Linked DNA regions of Arabidopsis thaliana. The protein of the gene in region 4 purifies or fractionates together with the protein of the main gene of each other region. This does not show direct contact. Each region holds a gene or a part of one and is shown on either strand. Other genes may lie near its edges. The genes, in order: PDX1.2, EMB3147, AT3G11770 and GRF10.

Region 1 (3,665 bases), on a different chromosome or scaffold from region 4:
TAGTCGATTTATCCAAATAGTTTGGACCTTTTTTCTAAAATTCAATTAAATTCATTAGAAAATCATACGGATTACATTTACTAATATGAACTTCTACAATGTTAAATTTACATACGTCAACTATATCTGATAATATCACTAAAAATTAAGTTATATTAGCTAAACCTCGATAATTAACGTTTTTGAATTCAAAAGTAATGGTAACTTTTTTGACCAAATTATTCTCACGCTTGTATAAGTAAAAGTTGTTTTTTAGAGTGATCATGATAGCATTAAAATTTGGATTGTCTGAATTCAGTGGCTTTGTTTTACTATTTTATAGTATTCTATTATAGAGCAGGACTATATATTATTAATTTTCTAGCTTTCAAGTTTGAATTTTGCAAAAGCAAATGTGTCGCGCCCTTTGTCGTTTGTGAGTGTTATTCGTTGTGGTCTCCCTGGATAGCAAAATAACAAATCAACATGAGATATGAATATATGATATGACTAAGACGAATAAGAGAGAAAGTGTCACCATATTTATTAATTATCTCTCTCAATGAGCAATCGAACAACTCCAAATCAAAACATAGAGAAGATCATATCATCAAGTTTATTTCGAAGCTTGAACATAAATGGTCTTTTCCATACATATGATATGGTCAGATCAGACGTCGTCATTCTCCATTCATTTTGGGATCGCATGGGTCAATATGAGCTGATATTTGTTTATATAAAATTCGCATGTCGTTTTCATACATCGCTTCATATGTGTGTTTAATCGATTTCCCACCATTTATTTACTCGTGTCTAAAACTCAACAACAAATCGTTGGTATTTTCAAATCTACACCCACATGCAAAACATCACCACATTTTAAAAAAAATGAATGTAAAATTTTACCAATCCAAAAAAAACGTTTTTACAACTACGTGTTACTTTGAGTTTGAAGTTTCGTAATTAAATCTCTTAGACAATGCTTCGATCCTTTGCCGTAGTTGCTTGACGTTGTGTGTATTCACCACTTTCGTAGCCCTTCTTCATAGACCTTGCTTCCTGATTTGATAGAAGACAAATCAGTAAACGATCACCACATTTTTTGATGTTAAACAAATTTTCTTTACCATATGTCATAAAACCAACTGCACCGTATAAATCTCTGGATCATGCCCGCGTACTCACATTACGTAAGAGATGAAAGTAAACTACATCCTCCTACAATCTTTTTGTTTCCCAAGCTGCCAAACAATCCAAAACCGTTGTAGTCATTTTTACCATCATCCATATATGGTGAATCGGTGATGACGGTTTAAAAAAGAACTTTTTTCTTCCATCTTTTTATTTTGCCGACTGATTTTGTCTCATCTAATATAATATCAAATCATACAAGATTCAGAACTTTATATGATTAAACATCCTCAGTGGTAGTGACAGTTGGGAAGAGTAAGATTTACGTACTCAATTATTTAATTGCTTCAAAACTGTAAAAATGTATAGAACCAACAACCTGAAACACGTGAGGAGCACTACAAACGACGTCGTCTAGTGTCGTGACAATTTATAACATGGTGGGCCACTAAGTAAGACAGTTGTTAGATGTACCACTCCCTTTATTTCGTAAATATTTCATGCTTTGTTTTCTTCTTTGACTCGTGTCCATCAAAACAATCATTTCAAAATACTTTGGACGAGAATTACACACGATTACGCCACGTGTTCTATTCACATCCAACGGCTCTTACAAAAATAAAGAAAAAGTCCGTCTACTTGGGTCATCAATCATCATCATGGAAGCCCACTTAGTTTCCTTTTTCTGCATACGACGCCGTTTTGCGATTCCACCCTAACCATTTCTCAGTGACGAACAGTCTCAGAAGTTTCTAGACCAAACCACACTCTTCTTCGTCTTCTCCGTTCTCTCTATATTTCTCCTCACCTTCAACGCAGCTTTCTCGTTCTCGTCTCAGATCGTGTTACTAACAAACACCGTTTCTCCGGCGAAAAGCTCTCTGTTACTAAAAACTCACAGAACCTAAAAATGGCGGATCAAGCTATGACGGATCAAGATCAAGGAGCTGTTACTCTCTACAGCGGCACAGCCATTACCGACGCGAAGAAAAACCATCCGTTCTCTGTTAAGGTCGGATTAGCTCAGGTACTTCGTGGCGGCGCCATTGTTGAAGTTTCCTCGGTTAACCAAGCTAAGCTCGCTGAATCCGCCGGCGCATGTTCTGTAATCGTCTCAGATCCGGTTCGATCTCGCGGCGGTGTTCGTCGTATGCCGGATCCGGTTCTCATCAAAGAGGTAAAACGAGCTGTGTCTGTACCTGTGATGGCACGAGCTCGCGTTGGTCATTTTGTTGAGGCTCAGATCTTGGAATCTCTTGCGGTTGATTACATTGACGAGAGCGAGATTATCTCTGTTGCGGATGATGATCATTTCATCAACAAACATAATTTCCGATCTCCGTTCATTTGTGGTTGCCGTGATACAGGAGAAGCTTTGAGGAGAATCAGAGAAGGTGCTGCTATGATTAGGATCCAAGGAGATTTAACCGCAACAGGTAACATTGCAGAGACTGTGAAGAACGTTAGGTCATTGATGGGTGAAGTTAGAGTCTTGAACAACATGGATGATGATGAGGTGTTCACGTTTGCTAAGAAGATTTCAGCACCGTATGATCTTGTGGCTCAGACTAAGCAGATGGGTAGGGTTCCGGTTGTTCAGTTTGCATCAGGTGGGATCACGACTCCTGCTGATGCAGCTTTGATGATGCAGCTAGGTTGTGATGGGGTTTTTGTGGGTTCTGAGGTTTTTGATGGTCCTGATCCGTTTAAGAAACTTAGGAGCATTGTTCAAGCTGTTCAACATTACAATGATCCTCATGTGTTGGCTGAGATGAGTTCTGGATTGGAGAATGCAATGGAGAGCTTAAATGTTCGTGGTGACAGGATTCAAGACTTTGGCCAAGGCAGTGTTTGATGAAAAGGTTCGAAGCTGCAAACTTTTTGGGACTTCTAAAGTCGTAATCTTTTTTGGTTTTGAGTCTCAAAATATCGGTTGTTTTTTGTTAATGCTGGTGCATATGATCCGTTTGGTTTAATCGAAACTTGCAACAACTAAAACCTCAATGAAAAGTTGCAGAATTTTTGAAGGAGGTACAAGTCTTAGATTTATATTTACTTCTACAACATCGCAACATGATTTTAATGGTTATAACTTATAAACTAGTCATGGTACATTGACAAACATATATAAGGTGATATAGGATTACATTGAGGCAGATTTAGTCTTATTTCTTCCCACTTTTCTTAAGTCCTGAGCCTCCGAATGATCCTTTTTGTGAAGCCTTGGCCCTGAGTTCTTTAAGTGCCTGTTTTCATCACATAAACAAGATCATCAACAGCAATCACCTTCTCCTTCAATGAATCAAAACTAAGATTGAGAAAACTAACCTTCTCTTCATCCTTCTTTTTCTGCATTAACTCCATATCGTGCTACATTTGAAACAGAGTAAAACCATTAAAACGTTGAGCTAAAGAAAAAGGCAAGGGTACAATTGCTATCATACCTCATCGTACTCCTTCTTACCAGACTTGGGCTGCTTCAAAGGCTTCAATTTCCCTCCTGAAATCATATTTCATTTTGCAGAAAATGTTGGATTCCATAAGGAACCATATAA
Region 2 (5,194 bases), on a different chromosome or scaffold from region 4:
ATTTTATGAACTTCTCATTGGAACTGTAACTATATTCCTGAAAGTCATAAGAGAAAGATCAAGTACTTAATTTACAATAGATGATACAACACATATACATGTTGAAACATTTGAAAAACAAGAATTTTGACATGTATAAACTGATTCATCTTGTATCATTAGGAACTGGGTAAAATCACCATCCAATAAATACCCGCTAAGATCAAAACCATAAACCATGATTAGCATAGCATAAAACCTTCAACCAGATCACTCGACTTCAAATAACATACAATTAACTAAACTTACGTAGTTGAAACAACAAGCACCAGTGGTCTAGTGGTAGAATAGTACCCTGCCACGGTACAGACCCGGGTTCGATTCCCGGCTGGTGCATCTAGTAGCATGTGAGCAGTGATGAAAATATCTTGAGCTGTGGTGATGAATCTTCGGATATGATATTAACCTCGCTATAATCTGAGCTCACTCATTTCTTTTACTTTTTTTTTTGATTGAGCAGCAAAACCCAAAAACTAGTAACACAAATTTGAGATTTTGTCACTTCACTTCAACTGAAACTAAAAAGATATCTCAATACATATATCCTGTAAAGTGTCACATAAATATTCCATACAAAACTTTGAATTCCAAACTATTGAAGCACTAGAGAGATCCACAGACATACGTTGTAAATTTACTTATTATCAATGATTCTCAACTCAAATACATGTGAACAAAAAGCTAGCAATACTCTCAAGCACTGATGTTTTCGAAACTTGCGCTTTTATCTACTCTCTTGAATATCCCTGCAATTACCTGGTGTTTGAATGCCACAAAACACACAACTTAGAAGAAGAAGAAGAAACCTCCATCTATAATGAGTTTACGAAGATAGAAAAATACCTTTCCAGGTCCCAATTCGTAGCTGCTTTTAAGTCCTTTGGATAAGAGAGTCTTTACTGTTGTCTCCCATTGGACTGGAGATGTCACCTGTAGTCAACATTTGCATCTTTTTTTTATATAGCGTCGCCAAAAGAGAAATAATTCACATAGTTCTCTGAGTATTGATTTATTACCTGGCGTGCAAGTATCTTCTTGATCGTGTCTGGATCTGCATGAGGCTGTGCATCGACATTCGAGATCACTGGGATCCTCGGACTTCTGATCTCTGTGGCTGCCAATGCAGCTTCTAATCTCGAGACTGCTGGTTCCATGAAACTAGTGTGGAAAGCACCTGCAACAGCTAGACGCACCTACAGAACCAACCGCCAACAATCATGTTTCTGATAGCATCGAGGAAGATTTCATAACATAAATGGAATTAGAGAGAGAGGATACCGTCATTCGTGCTTTGAATGACTTAGCTTTGGCTTCAACAACTTCGATTCCTTTAAGACCTCCAGATACTGCGTAATTACCCTGTAACAGTATACCACATAAAGGAATGTGAAAATGATTTTATACAAGTCTAGAATGCAAAAGATTCATGGAAGACATATATACCGGACATAAGTAATTTGCGATCTGAACTTTGTCAGCTTCATCTACTTCTTGATTTGCTGCATCACACAACTGCTGAACCTTTTCTGAGTCCAACCCTATGATACTAACCATGGCACTCTTAGCAGCATCTGCAGCAGCCTGAAGAAAGTCATTTTATCAAAAACTAAAAGTCAATGCAGCTGTTCGAATGGTATATAAGATCACTACAAAGTTCAGCCGTCACAACATCAACCTAAACTTGACATAGTCAATGAAGGATATACAGAGCAGAGTTCAATCTTACCTGCATAGCTTCTCCTCTAAGTTTTACAAGCTTCAGCCCGTCCTCGAAGCTTGAGAATAAAAACAGTAACAGAGAAAAGAACAAAAGTAAGTTAGGTGATGATGCACATAGGTAAAAGGGAACAAAGTGACATACTTTCTTACAATGATATTTGAAAATCCGAGATTTGATACCTCTATCATTCAGTTAAGGATATTGATTCAGATGTTAACTAACCTGAAGGCTCCAGCAAAAGCCAGAGCAGTATACTCTCCCAAACTGAGACCGCAAGTCACATCAACCGAGTTAATTATTTGTTCTCCGCCTTCACGAACACGGAGCAATTCAACTGCTGCTAAACTTGTGACATAAATAGCAGGCTGAGAAAATGATAGACCAATAACTTAGACATCATACCAAAATGTACATACTAAAAGGAAACATCACATAAAAATTAAGTTTTGCTAGAGTTAGGTGACAACAGACAAGAAAGAAGATCATAAATCTGAAGTTGTCCCTAACCAAAAGTTGCAAAGATACCTGGCTTATGACCGTAGAATCAAGCTTCTCTTTTGGTCCATTAACACAAATATCCAAAAGATCATACCTGCAGAAAGCCACCATATAGTTTATTCATTCACAAAAACAAACAAAAAGGTTTCAACTTTAAACAAAGGAACATACCCTAAGATATCATTAGCTTTCTTATACAACTCTCCAGCTGCTCCAACACTCTGAGACTCTTTTCCCATTCCTACTGCTTGAGCTCCCTGAGACATAGCAAATTCATCTAAACTTTGTCACATTTGATCTAAAAATTGAAACGAGTTCTGAGAGATTACAAGCAAAGAATATGACGTTATGATGAAGACCCTACATTGTAATTAAAATCACATCAATCAGATCAAAATTAGCAAACTTTTCAATCTGGGCAATTCCAAATTTCCTAAATTGATACGAAATCAATCAGAGTCCACATTTTCATTGTTCAGATTGATAACATGTAATCGGAAGTTACCTGACCGGGAAAGAGAAAAGCAGAGGTGGGTTTGTAATCAGCGAACAGAGAATCGTGAACAGTAGTACTCTGAGATCCAGCAGAGACGCTCATAGAAATCCTAGATCGGCTGAGATTCTTGGCGGCGAAGCCAAAGGAGGCATTTTTAGAGGAGGAGAGATTGTTGAGAGATATGGAAGGGAGGAGCAAGGAAGAGGAGGCGGTGGTGGCCATGGCGGAGAGAGAAGTGCGCCGGATAAGAGAATGAGACGGAGATGTGAGTAAGATAGTACGGTGAAGCAGTGAACGCATTCAGAGAAGTAAACAGTAGTAATCCTTTTTAAAAAAGCTTTAGCGGAGTTAACGAAGATGATGGTAGCTGGGGGAAGTTTTTGAAGAAAGGAGAGAAACGGACACGTGTCCAAATTTGATTGGATGTAAAGCTTAACAAAAGAAACAAAAAAATTCGTGTGTTCAAGACTACGTTAAATTCCATTTTGTGGTCAATCATCCAAAGATTAATGTTGTATTTGTGTTATTTTGGTAAAGAGATGCGATAAAATGATGAGGAAATAGAAGAAATACGAAAAAATCAGAACAAAAAAAAACTCAGGTTTGACGACGGCGATTAGGTTTTGTAGGAAAAGCAGTTGACTTTGTACGTGAAATTACAGATGTACCCCTCGTTTTAACTAAAATGCATAATATTGTCCACTTGTAGGTATCGAACTTATCACTTTGGCTACCAAAAACAACCTTCCAGACCACAATGCTACATCAAATTTTAAAAATATGACTGATTAAAAGTTATATATACTATATATTTATATAAACTATAGCATATTTGCCAATTTGATTTAACGCCTAGTCGACGATTAATCCGAAATAGGCGGTACTCTAGCACCTAAGTACGTACTGCATGACTTTTATAACATTGCAGATGGTGATGACTATCACCGGAAGATAAACTCAATCGGAGAATAGAAAATATGATTTGGAGAGTAATCGTTGACGGATTCTCCAAATTAGGTATGAATCAAGTCATTTTCTCTTGTATATCGTGACTAAATGTTGTAACAATCAACAGAACAACTGATCTTTATTCCGTTTTTTTTCATATCTATTTTATAATATTTCAAATTAATGTATGTTTAATATTTTATACTTTGTAATAATTATTAAATTGTATGAAATAAAATAATTTTATATTAATATTGTTTTTCCAGAGAATTCTTCTAAAAGAACCTACCATTGGACTATAAAAAACCAAAAAAAAGAAAAAAGCTCTTTTGTTAATTTTTTTGAAATTTAATCATAAAAAAATAGAGAGAACCCTTCGACAGATTCTCTCCATTGGAGGTGCTTTTAGATATAAAAAAAAAAATGTTGGATTATGGAAATTATGTATAATTGTGTATTTTATTTCATTGCGGAGAAGATTGAAGTTTAAACTAAGGTCTAGGGTTGTGCAAGAAAGAATACACAATTGTGTACACGTTTCGTGTGAGGTAAAAGATATCGTAAATCAATTATTTGCGACGTTGATTGCAAAATCGAGACCAATAAAGAGTATCCCAAAAATGTTTACCATACCAAATCCTATTTCTAACCATTTTAGTGTAAATATTTTCGCATGAATTCAACTTGGGATCAGTAAATCTTAGTGTCGATTGGAATGGATACCACTCATGTAAGTCTATCAACCTTTTGTTCCAATAGATTATGAATTTTTTTTGTGATGTTTGGATCACTTATGTCATGACGTTTGAATTATTAAGTATCCAGAGGACAATTTTGTTTATTAGGATTCCACAACGAAGAATGTATTTTTTGTACTTTTACATTTAGGGTTATCCAATTTATAACAATCGATCAAAACTATCTCATTAGATTCTATTATAGTTCAAAATGGTACAACTACATTCCATCAGGATGACCAACAGACCACCAAACTTACAATCTTATGGCAGTTGTAGTCAATTTACTTATGTCGAGTTATAGGCATTGACGGCGAATTGTTTTGAGAATTTTGGAGAAAGTTGACCAAAAAAAATCATCTTTTTGTGGAAGAAGTTATACAGAAATGTAATTCATGGATCACTATTTTTTTTTTTCAGTTTAATGGTAAATTTTGATCAACGGAATCGCAACCACACTATTTACGTTCTTTTTCAAGAATTATTTTCTCGTAAAGATGGCCAATTAAAGATCGATATGATGCTATTTTTGCAAGAAAAGTTTATGTATGATAATGTAATTAAAAGTATCTTGTGGGTTCATATTAAGTTAATAACTAATAAAGTTGTTTGGGAAAGTCAGCTAGAAAAAGAAGATTAACTAACACAGCTTTTATTTGGTAAATTTTTAATCGGAAAAATGAAAACACTCACTCTATTACGAGGAAAATAACAAAAGTACATCGAAAACAAAGGTTGAACCACTTTCAATAGAGC
Region 3 (3,973 bases), on a different chromosome or scaffold from region 4:
GCCACCGCACGTTTACATAGTGAGTTGGAACGATCACTTCTTTGTCCTCAAAGTTGAAAAAGAAGCTTACTATATCATTGACACACTTGGAGAAAGGCTTTACGAGGGTTGTGATCAAGCTTACGTTTTGAAATTCGACCATAAAACCGTCATCCACAAGATTCTTCACACAGAGGAAGCAGGATCCGAATCAGAACCTGAATCAGAGATTTTGAGCAGAGGGAAGGAGTCATGTAAAGAGTATATTAAGAATTTCTTGGCGGCCATACCAATTAGGGAGTTGCAAGAGGATATCAAGAAAGGATTAGCCTCAACCGCGCCTGTTCATCACCGTTTACAGATCGAGTTTCATTACACCACAAACGCAGAGATTACCAGTCTATAAAAGCCTAGGCAGAGTTGCTAACGTTTTGTTGAGTTTCTTGTAAGTTTTGTAACTAACTTGTGAATGTGATTTAGAGTTAAACCAGTTTGTATCTAACTATCCAAGGAATTTACATTTTTGCTCGTTCTATTTCGCTGTCTCTTTTTGGTTCATTATGTTTTTACAGCTTAAAATTTTGGCATTGTACCATAATCTCAAAATCTTCAGACAAAAAGACAAGGCCGGGCATGTTTTATTCAGACAGTATTGTTCACTCATCACAATACACAACATGAATCAATCAAGCGCAATCAAGCGCAATCTCACAAATCCATTTGATCAAGAAGGTTAACATAAGAGTTACATGAAGAACATTGCCACGAAAAATCACTGCTGCAATTGATCGTAGACATTGAAAATAAGCCAACCTTCAATGGCAGCAGCTTCAAGACGATCATTAGAGCTGGCTTCATCCCACTTGGACTGAATAGAATCAAGCCTACTCATGTCATACCAAAGAATCTTGTGAGCTAATTCTCTGGTTCCAAGGAACTCAACAATTGGAGTACCTCGGGCTTTCGCAGCTAGTTTCCCAATCTCCAACGAGCTTCGGATCACAATACCGTGGTTTTCTTTAAGCAAAGCGAGGTCTTCTTGAATCTGGACACCGACAAATGTGACAAATTTGGAAGCAAAGAAGCGATAAAGATCCTTGAGATTATCACAGAACGGGTTCGGCAGGCGGAGGAAGAGACAGAAGTTTTTAGTGCTAAACTTCACTGAGCATAGACGCCATTCGGACTTTGTGCTAACTGATTTGACATCCCAATACACATCAAAGACAATGGACCGGTTTCCATTCCAGACGGAATCTTCAAGGATCTTGGAAAGGTAAGGAGAGATATCGGTTGTTGATTCAACATCAATGGCTTTGGTCTGGACCCAAGAATTATCAACCATCATAAACCCTTGCCCATCGAATGAGGCCATTGTGGTCTGAAATCACTGGAAACATATTCACATTACACATTAGACACAACATCATATAGATCCATTAGCTTGGAGAGACACTCAGAATCAATACAATTCTAATAATCAGTGATCTGTTTTTGTTGTGAATGTGCTCAGCGATGAATCGAATGAAAAACTGATAAAGCAGCAAAGATTTTCAATATGTTTTCCAATTCACAAAGACATTGAAATATCGATTTTGAGTGTGTAGCAGCAATAGAATGACCGATTCAAGAAATGTGTAGACGCATTCAGAGCTAATTGGGTTTTTTGCCAGAACAACAAATTTACTCTAATCAGCGTTTGGGTTCTATGAACACAATACAAAGGTACGATTTTTATAAAGTGTGGATTAGACAGAGGAAAGTCCCCAAATAAGTTCATCGGATGGAACATGCTTTTGTTGATTTGGATTGAAGATTTATATATAAACATGAGAAAAATCTTTCAATCCAAAAAGACAGAAAAGAGGAACACGAACCTTGAGATTTCGGTGCGAGAAGGCTGATCTAGTAAACGGAGTCGGAAGAGAGAAAGACTGTTTCTGGGTTTGTTGTCGGAAGAAGAAGGAAAAGTACGCAAGTGAAAGTACGGTCCTGCCCATTGAAGGAATGACACGTGTCTTTACCTACGGGTATCGCACGTGCGAATGTCGCCATACGTGTTCCGTAGTAGAAGGATTTTAGAAGAGTCAATAGAACATTATTTTTTTCTTCACTTTGGTTGATTTTGGTTTAACATTTTGGAAAACTCACTCAACTCCTTGAGTATTGTTTTCGAAAATTTTCCTTGTATATTCATAGCATTTTGTTTCATATAAAACAATTAGTTATAGTCATATAAATAAATTGTTATTAAGCACTTGGAATCTTGGATTAAGTACAAAGAGCACATTTCACAAGACCATTCTCATTACACTCTATGCATCTCTTCCAGGTTTCGTGCTCTGCAACAACTCTCGACCTCCCATTGCATTTCGAACATATCAAAAATCTTTCGTTCTCGCACATCTCACACTGCCGCGACTTAGCTGATGAAAACACTTCTAGAAGCTTCTTGAGCTTCTCGTTTTCGTTAAGAGACACCACCTCGTCTGCTCCACCAATGTACTTACACTTTATGAAGAGCCTAGGAGGTGTAACTTGCTCCCCAAGCAATCTCCACATCTCTTCTTTGTACTCACAATCCATTGAAACATCTCTTTCTCGGAATGATGCCTTATGATTCTCTAGCAAGAATCTCACTCTTCTGCAATCTTCGAAAGTCTTTCTCACTCCTCGTAGACTTGTTGTGAAGAAGCAACAGAATCTTGCCCACCAGCTACACATTTCTCTTCAAAAGCCCACAAAAGCTCATCAAGATTCTGTTGAAGTCGTTTATCCTCAGAAACCTCAATTGTCGTTGGCGTAAGACACTCTTTCTCATCTATTTGATGAAAGATTGTGTGATCAAGATTGCTTTTGTGGAGAGCTATCGCCTGCTTCAAGTTCCCAAGAGATGTAATAAGCTTAAGTTTCTTCACCATTCTCTCCTTCATATCCATCATTGCTTCAACCTTCAACCTTTGATAAGAAGTTGTGAAAGAGGAGAGGCAAAAACCTAATCAAGATTGACAAACATGAGACTGGATAAGAGAAAAACGAAATGAGTACTCAACTGAACAAAAAAGCTACTTTGTGGGTTAGCTTTTCAAAAGTTTCTCCTTTGACGGGTCATTGTAGTACTAAAGAAGATAACCGATAAGCTAAATTAGGGTAACAAAAAACATTGAATTTACCCAACTTTAGCCCAACTTTGTCCAAATACATAGCAAAAGGGGAGGAATGTCCCTTTTAACATGTTGGTATATTGAAGCTATGAAAAAATTCATCTTTTCTGATAAGTCATTAATGGTTTACGTTTGGTTGAATGATGATGTATGTCACGTCTTTATAATTCCATGAACGTGGATGTAATGATGTACTATTGGTTAAAGTAGGCTCAGCTTTAAGGTTGCAACTAGAACTAACCACAGCTCTATAAAACCTAATCAATAATTCATTACTTTGTTTTTTCTATAAATGGGGGGATTCATGAATGGTCCAGAATGAGAATTTTCAAAGGGTTTTTGATCAACAATTATGTATAGCAGGAGAGTGTATTTTATACAAAATAAATGAGAGTGGTTCCATGGTATAGAACAAGATGGTGTATCCCGTCGAGCAAATCAGCTCTACATGTCGGCCACGGAGGATCCAAATCCAATATCAAATGAGAACTTGATGCAAGTTAACTCCTTCTTGCGTCCATCAAGCATCTTCATTTTTAGTGAGTATGAACCCTATGAGAAAGAAAAGGATTAGACTGGTCCTTCCTTAGATGCAGAAACACAAAACGAAAGTTTGGTATGACAAACATATAACTATAGAAACCATAACCAGCAAATCTTGACAACAAGAAGGTTAAACTTCTTCACTTTAGCCGCTTAATAGACATAATACTTCCACATGGAACTCATAATATGCTATCGAAACCAAGTTAAACCTCTTCTCAGTCTATTTCAGTTATCCAACTAAACAGATTCGATTACACTAGGCAATTTGTTATGACTGCAATAGA
Region 4 (4,880 bases):
ATTTGTTGTGCTAGCAACAACTCACCTAAAGAATTTAGAAGTTGGGCCAAGTGAATACTTGAATTGATCATTTGTAGCTCAAAATTGAAGTTTTCGATAGATGTATGAAATTATTATTCATTGGACATATAAAAATATTAAAGAAAACACTACAAAATCTCTCGAGGGAAGTGGTCAATTCGTGACAAAAATGTTATTTAGATGGTTGACAAAAAGATATCTGATTCTATAAGGATTAACTGGTTCACAGTTTGATTAACATGTTTTAGACTTTGAGGGCTCTCGATTGGATTAGACACAATGAGTGTTGGTACGAGTTAGAGAGTTTGTGATAGCATTTGGTTACAATTACAACTTACAAGAGTCCCATATTTAGAGCATAGAGATCCTTTTTGAGGGTCATGTTGGGAGAACCAAACCATTATTATGTCACACACTTACGGACCAAACCACCGTAGAGAAACACACTTGAGGATGATTCCTTGGCCACAAAGAGGGCAAACATCCACAAATTGAAAAGTTGTGAAGTTTGGGATCACTTATGCAAATTATTAAGAGCCTCTTGAATTCAGACTTTCATGATTTTTGCAAGGAGTTATTAGTTATTACAAACTTCGAATAAAGCTTTGTCTGTTTTGGTTTTTAATTTTGAGACCATGATACGCCTAATATTCTGATAAACAAAAACCCAAATCATGCCTGCTGGCTCAATTCAACAACAAAAGAAGCAAACTAAGCGTAAAACAGAATTCAACCACATCATAAGAGGGTTGAAGATACGCAACGCAGTGTTGTGTTGTGAAAAGTTCAAGAATCTGGAAAACACCATCAAGAAAGACATAGATTAAAAATTACACATTCGAGTAACAAACAACGACACTTACTGTCTTCACTTCAAGATTCAGGATGCAGCAAGAGTCGTTTCTCTTCTCACAGAGGATTTAGTTCTGCAATGATTCAGTAATTCCATGAGTGGTCTAATTGTCAATGCAAAATGGAAAAATCAGTAAGTAGCTTAACTTATAACAAAACTGGCTTTTCATACCTCATCTTGAGGCTCATCAGCACCTTTGGTTCTCTCATCTAAGAGGGGAAAAAAAAAAGGTGAGTGAAAAAGCTTTGGAAGAGAAACAAGAAACTAGTAATGTTTTCTGCTACAAACATATAACTTTTACAAGATTAGCTAGAATCCAATAACTATGAGATGGTAGATTGGTATGTTTTTTGTTGAGGCTTTCAAAACTAAAATGAAAGATCTACATAGCAATACATGCATAAAGGACGGTTTAATTCAAATATAGACAGATGGTTAATGGTTACGAGTTCCCAAACATCAACATTTTTACTCCAAGGTAACGCTCTTAACAGCTCATTTGATTCTAAGGAAACCATTTGATCATGAGATAGGGAAACAAAAGAAAATAAGAATACCTCCTTCCTCATTAAGGTCTGAAGTCCACAAGGTGAGATTGTCTCTAAGTAGCTGCATAATAAGAGTGCTGTCTTTGTATGATTCCTCGTTGAGGCTGTCAAGTTCAGCAATTGCATCATCGAATGCTTGCTTAGCCAATTGGCATGCGCTGTACAATACATAGTTTCATAGTGTCAGAAAATGACCACAGATTCCACTATTATGTTCAATCCAAAATACAAAAACAAACCTTTCGGGAGAGTTCAAGATCTCATAGTAGAAAACTGAAAAGTTCAACGCCAAGCCAAGTCTAACTGGATGTGTGGGTGCCAAACCATTCTCTGCAGCAGCAACAGCAGCCTACATTCCCAGTACGAAAAAAGCAAGACTTGTCTTAGGTTATTCCCAGCTCAAATATAAGAGGGGTGGCACAAAAATAAGAAAACAAATAAACATGATCAAAGGACCTTATATGCTTCAAGAGACTGATCTGCAGCTTCCTTGCGTTCAGCACCAGAACTGAACTCCGCAAGATAGCGATAGTAATCTCCTTTCCTACATAGAAAGAAAAAAAAACACGTAAAGTCAAAACAGTGAAACAAGGAAAAGTTCATGAATCATCATCATTTCAGGAAGAACACAAGCAAGAGTGGTAGCTATGTAATAACTTAAACATTTAACTTTAGTCAAACGGAAATGATCTCATTCTTAGTCACACAAATATCACATGAATGGTCAGAGTATAATAAAGATGACACTCACATTTTGTAGAAAAAGACAGTTGACTCCACAGCGTTAGACGATGGAATGAGATGCTTATCAATGACAGACAAGATGTCATTACAAACTTTAGCAAGCTCATCTTCAACTCTCTTACGATAATTCTTAAGCCTCTTGACATTTTCATCATTTCCCTTGGACTCTTCCTTCTGCTCAATGGAAGATAGTATTCTCCATGATGCTCTCCTTGCACCAATCACATTCTTGTACCCTACAGATACAAGATTCCTCTCTTCCACAGTTAGCTCCACATCAAGCTGAGCAACTTTCTTCATCGCCTCCACCATTTCTGCATCATCACCAACAAAAAAAAAATATCCGATCTTTGAATTTGCTTCCAAAAACGTAGATCTATTTCATTTTCATGCTAAGAGATTCGACAACAGTAAGTATAAAATTATATCAAGATAAGATCAAGAGTGATCAGAGTATCTAAACAACATTAAACAAGAAATTACTTAAAGGTCGCATCTAAAAGTCCAGATCAAGTAACAGCCCAGAAACATACAAATCGGTAAAGGGCTACAAAGAAAATCTATGGAAATGTAAAAACAATTTCGATCGGAGCAATAAAAGATCGGATTTTTTCAGAAACATGAACAAATCATTTTCTGAATAGAGATCCAGAAATCGGAAAATACCATCGTATCTTTCGGTTTGCTCGGAGAGCTTAGCCAAGTAAACCTGCTTTTCCCTCTCATTCTCCATAGTTTTTTCTTCTTCTTCTTCTTCTTCTTCCTTCTCTGTCTCTCTGAAGTCTGAATCAAAAATGGATGCTTTGATTTGATTGATTTCGAGATTAGTAGTAACCCTAGGATCCTCTCATAGTGGTATTATATCAGCCGTTGGATCTACTTTTTTTAGTCAACAAAACTCAGAAACATAAGTTTTATAAATTATAAAGTAGCCACAAAGGTTTAGTTTTTACACAGAAAGAACCTAAAACTAATATATGTTTCTTATTAAACCCCGATCTAGTCAATAACGTAAAAGGTTAACGACGCTGACCGTGATAAACGGAGAAAGACATGTCCTCTTGTCCATTATTTTAAGGGTTTGTGTTCTTTTCTATATTATATAACACAATCCAAATCATAGATTTTTTTTATGCCAATCCAAATCCAAATCCAAATCAATCACAGATTGAAACTCAAAGAAATTTTCTTTTGAAGAAAAAATTTGGTTTCTGTCAAATGTTTTGTACATGGCCCTTTCAAATTCTATATCCTGTAGTTAGCTACAACACGCTTTTAGTTTGCATAAAATATAAAATCTGAACTAGAATGAGAAAACAATTTGTTCCAGGTAAAAGAAATGGTCACTGAACTCGGTTGATTTGTGAGCTGAAATACTGTTGAAGCTCATTAGTCGTTGTCGGTAGGCTTTTCGTCATTTCTGAATTCGATAGAGTCGCCAAATTCTCCATGTTACCATCTCTTTTCTTCATATCATCGTCGTTGTCCTCAACTCCATTCAGAAAATCTGCATTATCATCTTTCTGCATCAGACTGGTTTTCACTCGATCTGCTTCATTGCCATTCTCTACGGCTTTTGCTTCCTCAAACACCTCACTGCTGGTTCTTCCACTCTCAAGGTACTGCATTGTCTCAGAGTCCATGGAATCAGAGTTACCTAGTAAAGATTCGTTAGCTATCACTGGTTGTTGTCCTAGAGTCTTGTTGTCAGATTGCAAGTAATAATGTTGGTTCTTGCTTGGGGATTCAAGAAGTGATCGTAGATATGTGGAGACTTCCTTGCAGGTTTCAAACTGTTGCCCATCAGGGCTATATAATCAAAAACAAAAGAGAAAATTTTCAGAATCCTGAACTAAAAGTGATAACAACAGCTAGAATCCTAGAACGGCAGAGAGTACACAAACGAACTATAAGCAATTTCAGTAGCAGCCCTTAATTCATGTAAACATCTTTTATCATGTTCAAGAAGATGGAGAAACAAACAAGAGGGACAATCAAAAGTCTAGCAGCAGAAACTAAAACATCATATACCAAATCCTATAAAACTATATCTTCAATAGTAACAAAGTGTTAGTTTTGCTATAACCAATTCCACAGCCAATACTAGGTCTATTTTATAATCCAACTAGAAACAGAACCAGTGAAGAACATAAACATTATTATACCTTATGTATCTGCGACAAGCCAGCAACAAATTGCTACCTTTCCTTTTGATGTAGAGCATAAGTCTCCATCCTCTAGGCAAGTATCCTCCATAATCACAAGCATTCACAACTTTCTTCTTCTTCCCTATATTCACCCATTCACCATTCAATTGTTCCAAGAAACCTAAGATCTCTTCCTTTGTCTTCAACCCAACGGTGATCCTCCTCAGCTCCTCTTCGTATGGATCCTCTGAAACACTAGCCAATGCAGAGAGATCCACAATTGTACCTTCTCTGTTCTCCAAGTTCACTACTAACTCTTCCTTATCAAACGCAGAAATATTCACAATTGCACTGTCTCTCTTCTCTAGGTTCATTATCTCTTCCTTATTCTTTGGAGGACGACCTCTCTTTCTCTTCACTGAATTTGAATCCAGGGAGATTCCTGAACTACCAACTCTACTCACCATTCCCAAATTGCTACTAGTTTTATCTACAAACACATACGTAGATGCTTCACCAGTTAAATCCAAAACCTCATTCTCTTCGCTAGGGTTCCGAATCTTCCTC

Evidence for each region.
Region 1: the proteins of GRF10 (region 4) and PDX1.2 purify together in Arabidopsis thaliana (affinity purification with mass spectrometry, with the first as the bait; one study listed by BioGRID). This does not show direct contact.
Region 2: the proteins of GRF10 (region 4) and EMB3147 purify together in Arabidopsis thaliana (affinity purification with mass spectrometry, with the first as the bait; one study listed by BioGRID). This does not show direct contact.
Region 3: the proteins of GRF10 (region 4) and AT3G11770 purify together in Arabidopsis thaliana (affinity purification with mass spectrometry, with the first as the bait; one study listed by BioGRID). This does not show direct contact.

Annotation. Positions count from the first base shown.
Region 1 is NC_003074.8:5,443,421-5,447,085, reverse strand, and holds PDX1.2 (pyridoxine biosynthesis 1.2), read left to right. Parts: upstream 1-1,756; 5' UTR 1,757-2,020; coding exon 2,021-2,965; 3' UTR 2,966-3,136; downstream 3,137-3,665. Other genes in the region: AT3G16040 (Translation machinery associated TMA7), read right to left, coding at 3,276-3,356, 3,439-3,480, 3,555-3,610. UniProt on the Arabidopsis thaliana protein: The protein has no function in the formation of pyridoxal 5'-phosphate.
Region 2 is NC_003071.7:12,882,430-12,887,623, forward strand, and holds EMB3147 (EMBRYO DEFECTIVE 3147), read right to left. Parts: upstream 3,348-5,194; 5' UTR 3,054-3,347; coding exon 2,763-3,053; intron 2,515-2,762; coding exon 2,429-2,514; intron 2,352-2,428; coding exon 2,285-2,351; intron 2,125-2,284; coding exon 1,982-2,124; intron 1,815-1,981; coding exon 1,766-1,814; intron 1,621-1,765; coding exon 1,483-1,620; intron 1,399-1,482; coding exon 1,318-1,398; intron 1,233-1,317; coding exon 1,056-1,232; intron 989-1,055; coding exon of another isoform or gene 970-988; coding exon 883-969; intron 796-882; coding exon 733-795; 3' UTR 519-732; downstream 1-518.
Region 3 is NC_003074.8:3,720,739-3,724,711, forward strand, and holds AT3G11770 (Polynucleotidyl transferase, ribonuclease H-like superfamily protein), read right to left. Parts: upstream 2,004-3,973; 5' UTR 1,857-2,003; intron 1,370-1,856; 5' UTR 1,355-1,369; coding exon 752-1,354; 3' UTR 558-751; downstream 1-557. Other genes in the region: AT3G11760 (structural maintenance of chromosomes flexible hinge domain protein), read left to right, coding at 1-385; AT3G11773 (Thioredoxin superfamily protein), read right to left, coding at 2,251-2,592, 2,661-2,921; AT3G11780 (MD-2-related lipid recognition domain-containing protein / ML domain-containing protein), read right to left, coding at 3,588-3,695, 3,856-3,909. UniProt on the Arabidopsis thaliana protein: 3'-to-5' exoribonuclease (RNase) specifically targeting single-stranded RNAs. Triggers miRNA accumulation in RNA-induced silencing complex (RISC), composed of miRNAs and AGO proteins, by degrading uridylated cleavage fragments.
Region 4 is NC_003070.9:7,878,205-7,883,084, forward strand, and holds GRF10 (general regulatory factor 10), read right to left. Parts: upstream 3,192-4,880; 5' UTR 2,900-3,191; coding exon 2,833-2,899; intron 2,481-2,832; coding exon 2,174-2,480; intron 1,967-2,173; coding exon 1,879-1,966; intron 1,772-1,878; coding exon 1,662-1,771; intron 1,581-1,661; coding exon 1,432-1,580; coding exon of another isoform or gene 1,397-1,431; exon of another isoform or gene 1,084-1,396; coding exon 1,046-1,083; coding exon of another isoform or gene 1,040-1,045; exon of another isoform or gene 1,021-1,039; intron 948-1,020; coding exon 942-947; 3' UTR 555-941; downstream 1-554. Other genes in the region: MBD8 (methyl-CPG-binding domain 8), read right to left, coding at 3,510-3,975, 4,332-4,880. UniProt on the Arabidopsis thaliana protein: Is associated with a DNA binding complex that binds to the G box, a well-characterized cis-acting DNA regulatory element found in plant genes.